Linked DNA regions of Astyanax mexicanus. The protein of the gene in region 1 purifies or fractionates together with the protein of each later gene. This does not show direct contact. Links are inferred from orthologs where the notes say so. Each region holds a gene or a part of one and is shown in the gene's direction. Other genes may lie near its edges.

Region 1 (3,756 bases):
TTAAATGCCGTTAAAGCAGAGAAAGCACTAGAATATGCAGAACAGTGGGGTATGCAGTAGAATATGCAGGAACAGGGTTTAGAAACACTGCTGTAACCTGACCTCTGTTTATTTGTGGTTCACAGTTAGACCACAGTAAGACCACATGTCCTGAGTAAATACAGGAATTCCAGTCAAATCCAAATGTGTTTTTTTTTTTTTTTTTTTTGTAATTGTATGTTTTGCGCAACTATATAACAACTTATTCAATAGTGTGTCAATGTTTAAACCAGTTTGAGAAAAGTGTAAAGAGAAAGTGAATCTTGCAAAATTAGTTACTTTAAATAGGTGAGTTGGGAATGTTGCAAAATTCATTTATTTTAATAGTTCAGGGTTAGGGTTTTTTAGAGTTTGCTCAAACCTCAAGTATTAAGTAAAAGAGAAGATGTTGATCTGGAGAAAGAGGAAATGTGGAGAGGACTGAAATGAACTGATCTAATCAAGACTGGACTGAGCAAAAGAAAGAACAGGTTAAGAGAAGCAAGACTAGGCATACAGGATATATGAGTAATTCTTAAAGAGTACTAATTGTGTAGCCCCTTAGGACTAATCACTATTTAGGACTAATAAATATTTCCTTCAACAGTTTGTTTCCATGTCATAAAATGTAAAGGTACAATTTAGAAAAAAGTGAATTGTTTACATTATTACATTGTTACATTTTTAAGGAATATATCTGTCCTTTAGTAAAATCTTATGATACTGTTTTTGGGTCACCAACAGTCATTTAGCAGAATTTGAGCAATCCATGTTCAATTTTAAATCCATTGAATTAAAAAATATATAACTTTACATTACAGTGTTAGACATAGTAAAAAAAATTAAAGATTAAAATCTGATTATGATGTGTTGTTTGTAGATATTATAAATCAGGAAATATAGTGTACAGTCTCTATCTAGTGGATATCAGCAGTAACTGCAGCTGCAGTAACTCTCCTCTCCAGCAGAGGCCCTCAGTTCAGCTTCAGCAGTGAAACCCCACAACAGCAGTAGCGGAGCGGAGCGGGGCTGGAGAAGCATGGCGGCGCCCAGGAGACAGGCTGCTCATCAGATAGACAACAGGAAGCGCACTGAAGATGTTCTGCTGTCTGATGGAGTTCAGTTCAGCTCTCTGCTGCTCTCCAAACCCGTGCTGGAGGGGCTGTCCTCCTCCGGCTTCCAGAGACCCTCTCCCATCCAGCTGAAGGCCATTCCGCTCGGCCGCTGCGGCCTGGGTCAGTCTCTAGCTCACTTATTACACTAATACTCACTAATAATTACTATTAATACACTTACTCACTAATAGTACACTTACTCCCACTTACATTTACTAATAATACACTTACTCTCACTAATACTCACTACTAATACACCTACTCTTACTAATAATACACTTACACTTACCTAAACTCACTAATAATACACCTACTCTCACTAATACTCACTACTAATACACATACTCCTACTAATAATACACTTACTCTCACTAATACTCACTACTAATACACATACTCTTACTAATTCTCACTACTAATACACCTACTCTTACTAATACTACACTTACACTCACTAATACTCACTACTAATACACATACTCCTAAAAATAAAACACTTACTCTCACTAATACTCACTACTAATACACATACTCCTAAAAATAAAACACTTACTCTCACTAATTCTCACTACTAATACACATACTCTTACTAATAATTAATTTACACTTACCTAAACTCACTAATAATACACCTACTCTCACTAATAATACATTTACTATTACCTATACTTACTGATAATACATTTACTTTCACTAATACTCACTAATAATGCACTTACACCTACCTATACTAACTAATAATACTCCTACAATAACTTATACTCACTAGTTTTACACTTACTCTGACTAATACTCAGTTATAATACACTTACTTATACTCACAAATAATAAGCTTACTTTCACTAATCATCATCATCATCGGCGGTCACTCGTAATCGAGTATGACTATCCTCCTTCTTAATCCTTGTGGGTCTTCAGATGGGCGTAGAGGCCGATTCTGGACCCAATTATTCTTGTACAATATGGACAAGGGAAAGTAGCAGTAGTAGGTTTGGGTCTGGCCTGCTTGGATGTTGCTCTCTCTTTTCTAAGTCTGTGTTTGACTTATTGGCAATTGCCACCTTATCCTTCAGCAAGGTAAGTCCATCTTTAGAGCGAAGGGGGGTTAGGCAGCGATGGCTGGGGCCATATACTGCTCTTGTGGCATCAAAGAAACTCCTCATATCTCCATAATCCGCATACTGCTGGATCTCCAGAGCCTTCTTTGTCCACCAATGATTCTTCAGTTTCCTAACTTGCATTTGGACGGCTGCCTTCGCTTTGGCATGGGCTGCTCTTTTAACCTTACAGTTGATGTTATTTTGCCAGGAAACAAAGGCCTTATGCTTGGTGTCTATAAGATGTTGAATCTCCGCGTCATTCTCATCATACCAGTCTTGATGCCTCCGTTTTTTAAGACCAAGAATGCCTTTGCAGGATTTCATGATGGTAGAAGAAAGTATGCGCCAGTGTTCTTCAATGTCCTCTGGATACTGTTTGGGCAGGTCAGCACTCAAAGCGTTCTGCACCCCTCTTTCCCGCATTACACGAATAGACATGATGGAGTGAATAAGACGGTGATCAGTCCAACAGTCGTCTGCACTGTCGTCTGTCATTGATCTGGTGTTAAAAACATCATGGCGGTCTTTGGAGCGGACAGTAACATAGTCGATGAGATGCCATAGTTTGGAGCGAGGGTGCATCCAAGATGTTTTGAGCTTAGTTTTCTGGCGGAAGAGTGTGTTAGTGACGACCAGGTTGTGCTCTGCACACTTCGTTAGCAGCAGTAAGCCATTCTTGTTAGAGTTTCCAACCCCTTCTCTGCCCAGCGTACCCCGCCATAGATGGTGTTTTCGTCCCACCCTGGCGTTGAAATCTCCAAGCAGTATTAACTTGTCCTCCTTAGGGACTTTGGATAAAAGTTTGTCCAGGTCAGCGTAGAAGGCCTCCTTTACTTGATCCTGTGCATCAAGTGTTGGAGCGTAGGCACTGATAACGGTGGCTCTCTGACTGCTGACAAGCATCAGGCGCATGGTCATCAGGCGCTCATTGATGCCCACAGGGAGTTCATAGAGGTATTTGACAAGGCTGTTCTTAACCACAAATCCCACACCATGGATTCGCGCCTCGTTTGCGGGCTTTCCTTTCCAGAAGAAAGTGTAGCCACCTTTTTCCTCCTTTAGCTGCCCTTCATCAGCCAGTCGTGTCTCAGAAAGTGCTGCGATGTCAATGTGGAGCTTCTTTAGTGCCCTGGAAATGATGGCAGTTCGTCTTTCAGGGCGCACACTGGTTTGATTGTCCATGAGGGTCCGCACATTCCAAGTTCCAATATATAGATGTTTCCGTTTCAATTTCTGTTTCTGACCGCATAATGGTGATCCTTCTGGACGCGGTATTCCAAACAGGAGTTTTTGAGGCAGGCTATGTTTAGGGTACCTTTTCTAACCCCCTCCCCTGCTGGGGTGAGCAGAGTGGATCCTTAATAGGGCTGCTTAGTCATGGGTGCAGCTGCCGAAATGCTCTTTCTGCCTCAAACCAGGAGCTTAGCGACTGTATTTAACACCCTTCGCCTGTGTGCCAGGTTGTGGCTAGGAACTCCCAGACATCACAATCCTGTTCCCGTCACCACTTCCTGATCGCCACA
Region 2 (3,756 bases), on another chromosome or scaffold:
ACGTGTATATACGTGTATATAAACACAGCTGCGGGTCATTTACATGGATACAGCAGATCTAAATTATGGTCTACTTCTCTGTCCTTGATAGCTAACCTATATCAACAGGCTGCAGGACAGGCTAGGCTAGGCTAACTCACTCGCTAACCAAATAACAACAAGCAACAAACCTCGCCTGAATTTGTCCCACCAACCGGCTGAGGAGGGCCGGACCTGCGGAGATGATAAACGCGTTAAAATCAGAGAGAAACACAGCGAGCTGGATCTTTATAAACAGTAAAAGCGCTAGCTCTGTTCACCCACCAGCCACTGACACTGCGGACACCGCCATGCTGAAAACACACTACCGCAAACCGCCCACCAATGTCGCAAAAAGATAGAGGCGATTTAGTTATGAGGGAGAATTATTTTATCCTGCAAAAAAAAAACAAATGAAATTAAATAAAGTCCTTATAAAGAGCACTGAATAACCAAATATATTATTTTCCTTTTTAAAGGATTTTTTGGAATTCCAATGATACCCTGTCTATGGATCCTAATATTTATATAAATTGAATACATAATATATAAAAATAAAAAATACCTTTCTTGCATTTTACCATGGCATTTAGTTTGAACTTTAACTTATAACTTTTTTTATAATTCAAAACAAAATAAATAAAAATTAAAAATATATATTTTTGCACACATGTTAATCATCTAATGTATTACGTTCAATCAATGTTAAATCAACTTAAAATTAATGAACAAGTAAATAAATAAATTCTGACATCAGAGATCTATGTTGTTTTAATGCATTAGTAATGAAAAAAAGAAGAAAAAAAGACTTTTAAATAAGATATTATTAAAATATATTTTGCTATATGGGCTTTAAAGGTGTTAAAACAATATAATTTTGAATTAAACACTTAAATTGTGTAAAAAAAACTTCTTTACATCTTTTGAAGAGTTTCTATTTTTTAATAATTTTATTTGTATATATTATATTATAAGTATATTTATATTTAATTTGTATATGTATATATATATATATATATATATATATATATATATATATATATATATATATATATATATATATATATATATTGTTTCTGCTTAATATATTCTTTAGCCTTTCGCTATTATTGTATCAGACTATTAGCTCCAGTGTTTTGCCTTTGAATATTTAAACTGTATTTATTATTAATAAAGCTTCAATAAGAAAGAAAAAATGGGGAAAAAATTTACACCGGCAGTGTTTGCGACACCTCTCACCGCCGGACGGCTCTCGCTGTGTTGATGGAGAAGCAGCATGTGTGTGAATGGAGCGGTTAGCTTTAGCTGCTAGCTGAACACTGTAACTCACCAGAAATCCTGTTTCTCACCTTTTAAACAGCACGTTTCACTCAGAATGCACGAGAGGCTTCTTCCAGCTTCTCCGAACTGGTACTGCTCCCGCTGCAGTGATGTGAACAGTAGCGGAGTGCTGGGCTTTGGGGCTAAAAGCACAGTTTACCTGCTGAAAGTTACTGCAGACTCAGCTGCAGTTCTAGGTGAGAATTATGTTGTTTACCTTTGGGAATTGAGCTACACTTATTTCTGTATTCATATCCTACTGAAAGTGTCGTTTTTGTTCCTGACCCACAGGAGAACTCAGTGGTCACACAGAGAGAGTTTCTGGCTTTGCTTTCTGTCAGCATGAAGGGCAGGAGCACATCTGTGCCAGCAGTTCAGATGATAAATCAGTGAAGGTGTGGGACACTGAGCAGAAGGCTGTGTTGGCAGAGCACAGTGCTCATCAGGTAGGTCCACAGCTGGAGCAGCGTGTTTTTACAGAAATGGTGGGAGGGGGTTAGGGTACTCTTTACACTCTCCACAGAGACTCACCACACCTTATAAGGTTGTTCTTTATGGCAATTGGAAAAATGGGACAAATCCTAATTCTGTTTATTACATATCTTTGTAATGTAGTTTAATCTAAGAAATTAGTTGTATAGCTAGACCAGGGGTGTCCAAACTTTTTTTGATACATTTTCCTGATTATTTAATTTACACACCATTTTACTTGACTGACTATCTTTATCTTTGACAGTGTTTTTGTAAACTAAGATTTTTCAAATTGATGTTTAATTTCATGATGTCTCTTAATATTAAACTCCTTAATCACGGCAACTTTTAGACTCTTTTGCCCCGTTTTTCTGCGTTAGAAATGCGCATCCTCTCCGCTTTTAGACTCTTTGGCCTGTTTTTCTGTGCTACACTTGAGCACTCTCTCCGCTTTTAGACTCTTTGGCCCGTTTCTGACACCTAGTGTTCAAACTTTGAATCTCACATTATAAAAACCTGCTTAACAGCGGGCCAACTTTCATTCTATTTCTATAACACCTCGCGGGCCGGTCTAAAAAAGGAAACGGGCCGCAGTTTGGACACCCCTGAGCTAGACAAATGGTGTTTGGTGGTCAAAGTGGTTGAAAAGCATACCTTAAACCTGTTAACCAGCTATTGACCAGCACGGTGTACGTTACATTTTTATTTTGTTACATTACATTACATTTTATTATAATTATCAACCAGCTTGGTCTTGTAGGTCAACCTACTTGGTATTGCTGGTTATGCTGGTTGACCAGCTTGGTCTATTCTGGTTGGAAAGCTTTTGTCTGGCTGGCATTTTTTACATTTCCTTAAGTTATTGTCCAAATGCAGAAACTATAGTGAATTATTTGGTAAATATCTTGTGGGATCCCACAGGGTTCTATTATGGGACTAATGAAACTAATGCCAATTATGATAGTAATGTAGTAATGAGGGGGATGGCACAGAGTGGTCCAGCAGTCTAAAGTGCTACCACTATGTTTGGGAGATCACTCTTTCCAGTCCCGGTCATGCAGCTTGCCATCAGCTGCCACAGCCCTAAGAGAGCACAATTGTATTTGCTCTCTCTGGGTGGTTAGATGGTGCTCTTTCCCCTCATCAGTCCTAGGGTGATGTTGATCAGCACAAGGCATCTGTGAGCTGATGGATCAGAACCGAGTCTATTGGAGTAATGTGCTGTGAAATGTGTTTTGTGTTTGTTTGTTTAGAACATCATCACCTCCCTTCATTGGTCTCCAGTGGAGAAGGGTCTTGTGGTGTCAGGAGACGAGAAAGGCATTGTGGTATGCTTTTGGTATAGCAGGAATGACATCCACAGCTTCTTCCCTGAACCCAGAACCATCTTCTGTTTAGCATGTTCCCCACACAACGAGAACCATGTTGCAGTTGGGTAAGTGTCATACCACACAAAATGCAATGGTAAAATGTTTTTTTCCTTTCATGTCTGTCTGAGGGAGAGCTAATGGCATTTTTCTTTAAGGTACAAGGATGGAATGATTGTATTGATCGATATTAGCAAGAAAGGAGAGGTAATCCATCGGCTTCGGGGTCACGATGAGGAGATCCACGCCCTGGCCTGGTGTCCTGAACCCAAGGAAGAGGATCTGTACTGTTTTAGACCAGCAGACAACACTGGTGCGTGATTTGTTTGATGGTGGATGTTATAATGAGAATTTTTAGATAGATGATGTAGGTAAATGCATCAGGCAAAATATCAACTAAATCCTAGAAAAATATGCTTCACACAACTCAGCTGTGCTTGTTGTCAACAGATGCATCAAATGGATTAACAGAGATAGAGGGAGGAGGCTACCTTGCTTCTGGGAGTCGAGATCAGACTGTTCGAATCTGGAGCACAGCACGAGGCAAAGGTGAGAAAACCTTATTGGTAATCATTGGTCT
Region 3 (3,756 bases), on another chromosome or scaffold:
GCATTATCTACAGGAACTCCTTACTCCTTACAATCCGCCGCGTTCACTCCGCTCCCAAGACGCTGGCCTGTTATTAGTCCCGCGTATTAGAAAAAACTATGCAGGAGGAAGAGCGTTCTTTTATAAAGCTCCCCAACTTTGAAATAGCCTCCCTATTAATATACGGGACTCAGACACACTCTCAATCTTTAAATCTAGACTCAAAACATTTCTATTTGCTCAAGCTTTTGAGTAATGTCTCATTACAATTTTCTTCCTCTTACAGCTTATCCAGCAAATATAAACCCTGTCCTAATCATCTGCTTTCTCTTTCTCTCCCCATGTCCTGAGCTGCTGCTACCAGTGCCCATCCCACTCCAGCAGAGTTTTATAAAACCATTCTAACCCCTTTTTCTTCCCTTTTTCAGCCCTGTCCTTCTACTCAAAAATCAGAATTATTACACAACCCTTCTAACTCTTGCTTTTTGTTTCTCTTTCTTTCCTTTCTGTTTTCTCTATCTATCTCTTTTACATGTATGGAGATGCTGTTCCTGATGTTCCCAGCCTGGCTCTCCACTGCCCGCTGTGTTGTTCTCCGGCTCTGCAGCCCTGCACTGATTACCATTAACACACTCAGTATCTGTTTCTGTATTAGCCATAGCTCTATAGTTTGTGCCCATCACATTCTTATATTCATAAATTAGTACCTGTTATATTAGCCATAGTTCACATTAATTCTCTGTACTGTTTTGTTCTGTTTGTTGTTTGTTGTTTGTTTGTACTGAGCGGGTCAACCCGAGTAGGATGGGTTCCTCGGACTGAGTCTTGGTTCCTTCCAAGGTTTCTTCCTCTTAAAGGGAGTTTTTCCTTGCCACTGTGTCACCATAAAATCAGCATCTCTGTGGTGCTGCTCATAAGAGGCGTGGACCTGTTTTTCCTGTAAAGCAGCTTTGTGACAACATTTGTTGTAAAAAGCGCTATATAAATAAAATTGAATTGAATGTAATTAACTCTTGATGAGTTCAGCACAGCTGTTAACTGAAAGACTGAATTCCAGGTGACTCTACCTCATAAAACTAACTGAGAAAATCCAGCAGAGATGTTCAAAACTGATCATCTAAACAAGAGGAGCTACTTAGTGATGTGTGTATATGAGCTGTGCTGCAGTAGCGCGGTGTGTCCTGCAGGGGGAGGTAGTGGTGGTGTGTGTGTGTGAGCTGCAGGCGGAGAAGAACAGTGTGAGGTAAACAGTAGCGGGAGAGCTGTGTGTGTTGAGAGCAGGTGAGTGTGTGTGTAGAACAGGTGAATAGAGGACAGGGATGGAGGAGCTGATGCCCAGACTGCTGCCGGTGGAGCCGCGCGCGCAGGAGGAGGAGGAAGGATACACTTTAAAGGAGCCGCCGAGGAACCCGCAGGAGTACCTGAGACACGTGCAGTACGAGCTTTTAGCACACACACTCTTATACACACACACAAACACACACAAACACACACACACACAGACACACACACACACACACACAGACACACACACACACACACACAGACACACACACACACACACACACACAAACACACACACACAGACACACACACACACAGACACACACACAGTTGTGTAAGCACAGAAAACTATAAACACTAGTTAAAGGATATTTATATCTCTACTAAAAAAACAGCGGAGAAATTAAAATAATGTATATTTTAATGTCATCATTTTATGGACTGAGTGCTACTGATTGGCTGCTAAAATGAAAATCTGGCTGCCGAGTGCTGATTGGCTGGCACTGTAACTACTGAGAACTGACTGGCTGGCATTCTAACTATTAAGCACTGGTTGATTCTGACCAAGAGCTAAGTGCTAAGTGGGCTGGTATTCCTAACTACTGACTACTTAATAGACTCCGACTACTGATTACTGACTACTGATTAGCTGGCATTCTGACTACTGACTACATTCTTTCTGGCATTGTGACTACTGACTAGCTGTTATGCTCACTACTGACTACTGACTAGCTACCATTCAGACTACTGACTTCTGACTAGCTGCCATTCTGATTACTGACTAGCTAGCATGTGATTCTGACTACTGTCTGGCATTCTGGCAACTCACTACTGACAATCTGGCATTCTGACTACTGACTAGCTGGCATTCTGACTATTGACTAGCTGGCATTATGACTACTGACTAGATGGCATTCTGACTACTGACTAGCTGGCATTCTGACTAGCTGGCATTCTGACTAGCTGGCATTCTGACTACTGACTAGCTGGCATTCTGACTACTGACTAGCTGGCATTCTGACTACTGACTAGCTGGCATTCTGACTACTGACTAGCTGGCATTCTGACTAGTTGGCATTCTGACTACTGACTAGCTGGCATTCTGACTAGTTGGCATTCTGACTACTGACTAGCTGGCATTCTGACTAGTTGGCATTCTGACTACTGACTAGCTGGCATTCTGACTAGTTGGCATTCTGACTACTGACTAGCTGGCATTCTGACTAGTTGGCATTCTGACTACTGGCAATCTGGCATTCTGACTACTGACTAGCTGGCATTCTGAATACTGACTAGCTGGCATTCTGACTACTGACTAGCTGGCATTCTGACTAGTTGGCATTCTGACTACTGACTAGCTGGCATTCTGACTACTGACTAGCTGGCATTCTGACTAGTTGGCATTCTGACTACTGACTAGCTGGCATTCTGACTAGTTGGCATTCTGACTAGTTGGCATTCTGACTACTGGCAATCTGGCATTCTGACTTCTGACTAGCTGCCTAAAGTCTTTATACCTCGTACCCTGGCCTGGATAGTGCACTGTCCTGGGCTAGTTGAAGTGCCCTATGTAGGGAGCATAGAGTGATTTAGGATGCAGCCTCACAGAACTAGTCTGAGTTGTATGAATGTGTGTGTGTGTGTGTGTGTGTGTGTGTGTGTGTGTGTGTGTATCACAGGCGTGAAGCTTCTCTGTGTCCGGATGTTGTTGTAGCTCAGATTGATCCCAAGAAGCTGAGGAAGAACCAGTCAGTGAACGTTTCTGTAAGTGTGTTTGTGTAAGATATAATGATAAGTGTGTGTGAGTGTGTGATATAATGGTGTGTGTGAGATGCTAAACGTGTGTGTGTGTGTGTGTGTGTTTAGCTCAGTGGCTGTCGGACGGCTCCTCACGGATTCTCCCCCAGCCTGAAGTGGCAGCAGCAGCAGGTCAGCAGCTTCTCTGAAGTCAGACAGGTAAAACACTTTTTATTACTTATCTGAGTAAAACAATCACTGAGCATAATAATGGTACAATAAACATTTTTTGTATTTGTAATAAACATTTTTATCAGTGTGTTAAATTTAGTAAATAAATAGAAACTGTCTGAAATGTGTAGAAAAATGTTCTGTAACATTTTGTTTAACATACATGTTAAATAAAATGTTATATAGATGTTCTTCTGTCCTGATGGAGAAGCAAAATCCAAGGTTTACTTTTTACAATTTTGAAGACTTTTATTATGTAAAAAAAGAGTAGATGTAGACCTGCCACAATATCTGTTTTTGCTTGGATTATATAGTGTCCCAGAAATGATTGCAGTAAACAATATTATTGTGATTTTATGCCTCTGATATAATTATAATATAATGGCATAATACTGCAATTATCAGTTTTAAAGAACACTAAACTGTAAAAACATAAACAAAAGAAAATAAAAACACTGTTTTTGAACAAAGTCAACTTATAGACTCCTTCATGTTTATAAGATCTTCCTGCCTAAAGGAACAAAA

The links.
Region 2: the proteins of ddx20 (region 1) and gemin5 purify together in Homo sapiens (affinity purification with western blotting; 6 studies listed by BioGRID and IntAct, counting the BioPlex papers as one, with this or other methods). This does not show direct contact. The link is inferred for Astyanax mexicanus from reciprocal best matches to the Homo sapiens genes DDX20 and GEMIN5.
Region 3: the proteins of ddx20 (region 1) and gemin2 purify together in Homo sapiens (affinity purification with mass spectrometry; 6 studies listed by BioGRID and IntAct, counting the BioPlex papers as one, with this or other methods). This does not show direct contact. The link is inferred for Astyanax mexicanus from reciprocal best matches to the Homo sapiens genes DDX20 and GEMIN2.

What each region holds. Positions count from the first base shown.
Region 1 is NC_064419.1:43,219,952-43,223,707, forward strand, and holds the start of ddx20 (probable ATP-dependent RNA helicase DDX20), read left to right. Parts: upstream 1-998; 5' UTR 999-1,057; coding exon 1,058-1,253; intron 1,254-3,756.
Region 2 is NC_064424.1:17,794,081-17,797,836, reverse strand, and holds the start of gemin5 (gem-associated protein 5), read left to right. Parts: upstream 1-1,259; 5' UTR 1,260-1,393; coding exon 1,394-1,535; intron 1,536-1,629; coding exon 1,630-1,784; intron 1,785-3,062; coding exon 3,063-3,244; intron 3,245-3,334; coding exon 3,335-3,489; intron 3,490-3,626; coding exon 3,627-3,725; intron 3,726-3,756. Other genes in the region: mrpl22 (39S ribosomal protein L22, mitochondrial), read right to left, coding at 171-213, 304-331. UniProt on the Homo sapiens protein: The SMN complex catalyzes the assembly of small nuclear ribonucleoproteins (snRNPs), the building blocks of the spliceosome, and thereby plays an important role in the splicing of cellular pre-mRNAs.
Region 3 is NC_064421.1:1,231,345-1,235,100, forward strand, and holds the start of gemin2 (gem-associated protein 2), read left to right. Parts: upstream 1-1,202; 5' UTR 1,203-1,298; coding exon 1,299-1,414; intron 1,415-2,942; coding exon 2,943-3,027; intron 3,028-3,129; coding exon 3,130-3,219; intron 3,220-3,756. UniProt on the Homo sapiens protein: The SMN complex catalyzes the assembly of small nuclear ribonucleoproteins (snRNPs), the building blocks of the spliceosome, and thereby plays an important role in the splicing of cellular pre-mRNAs.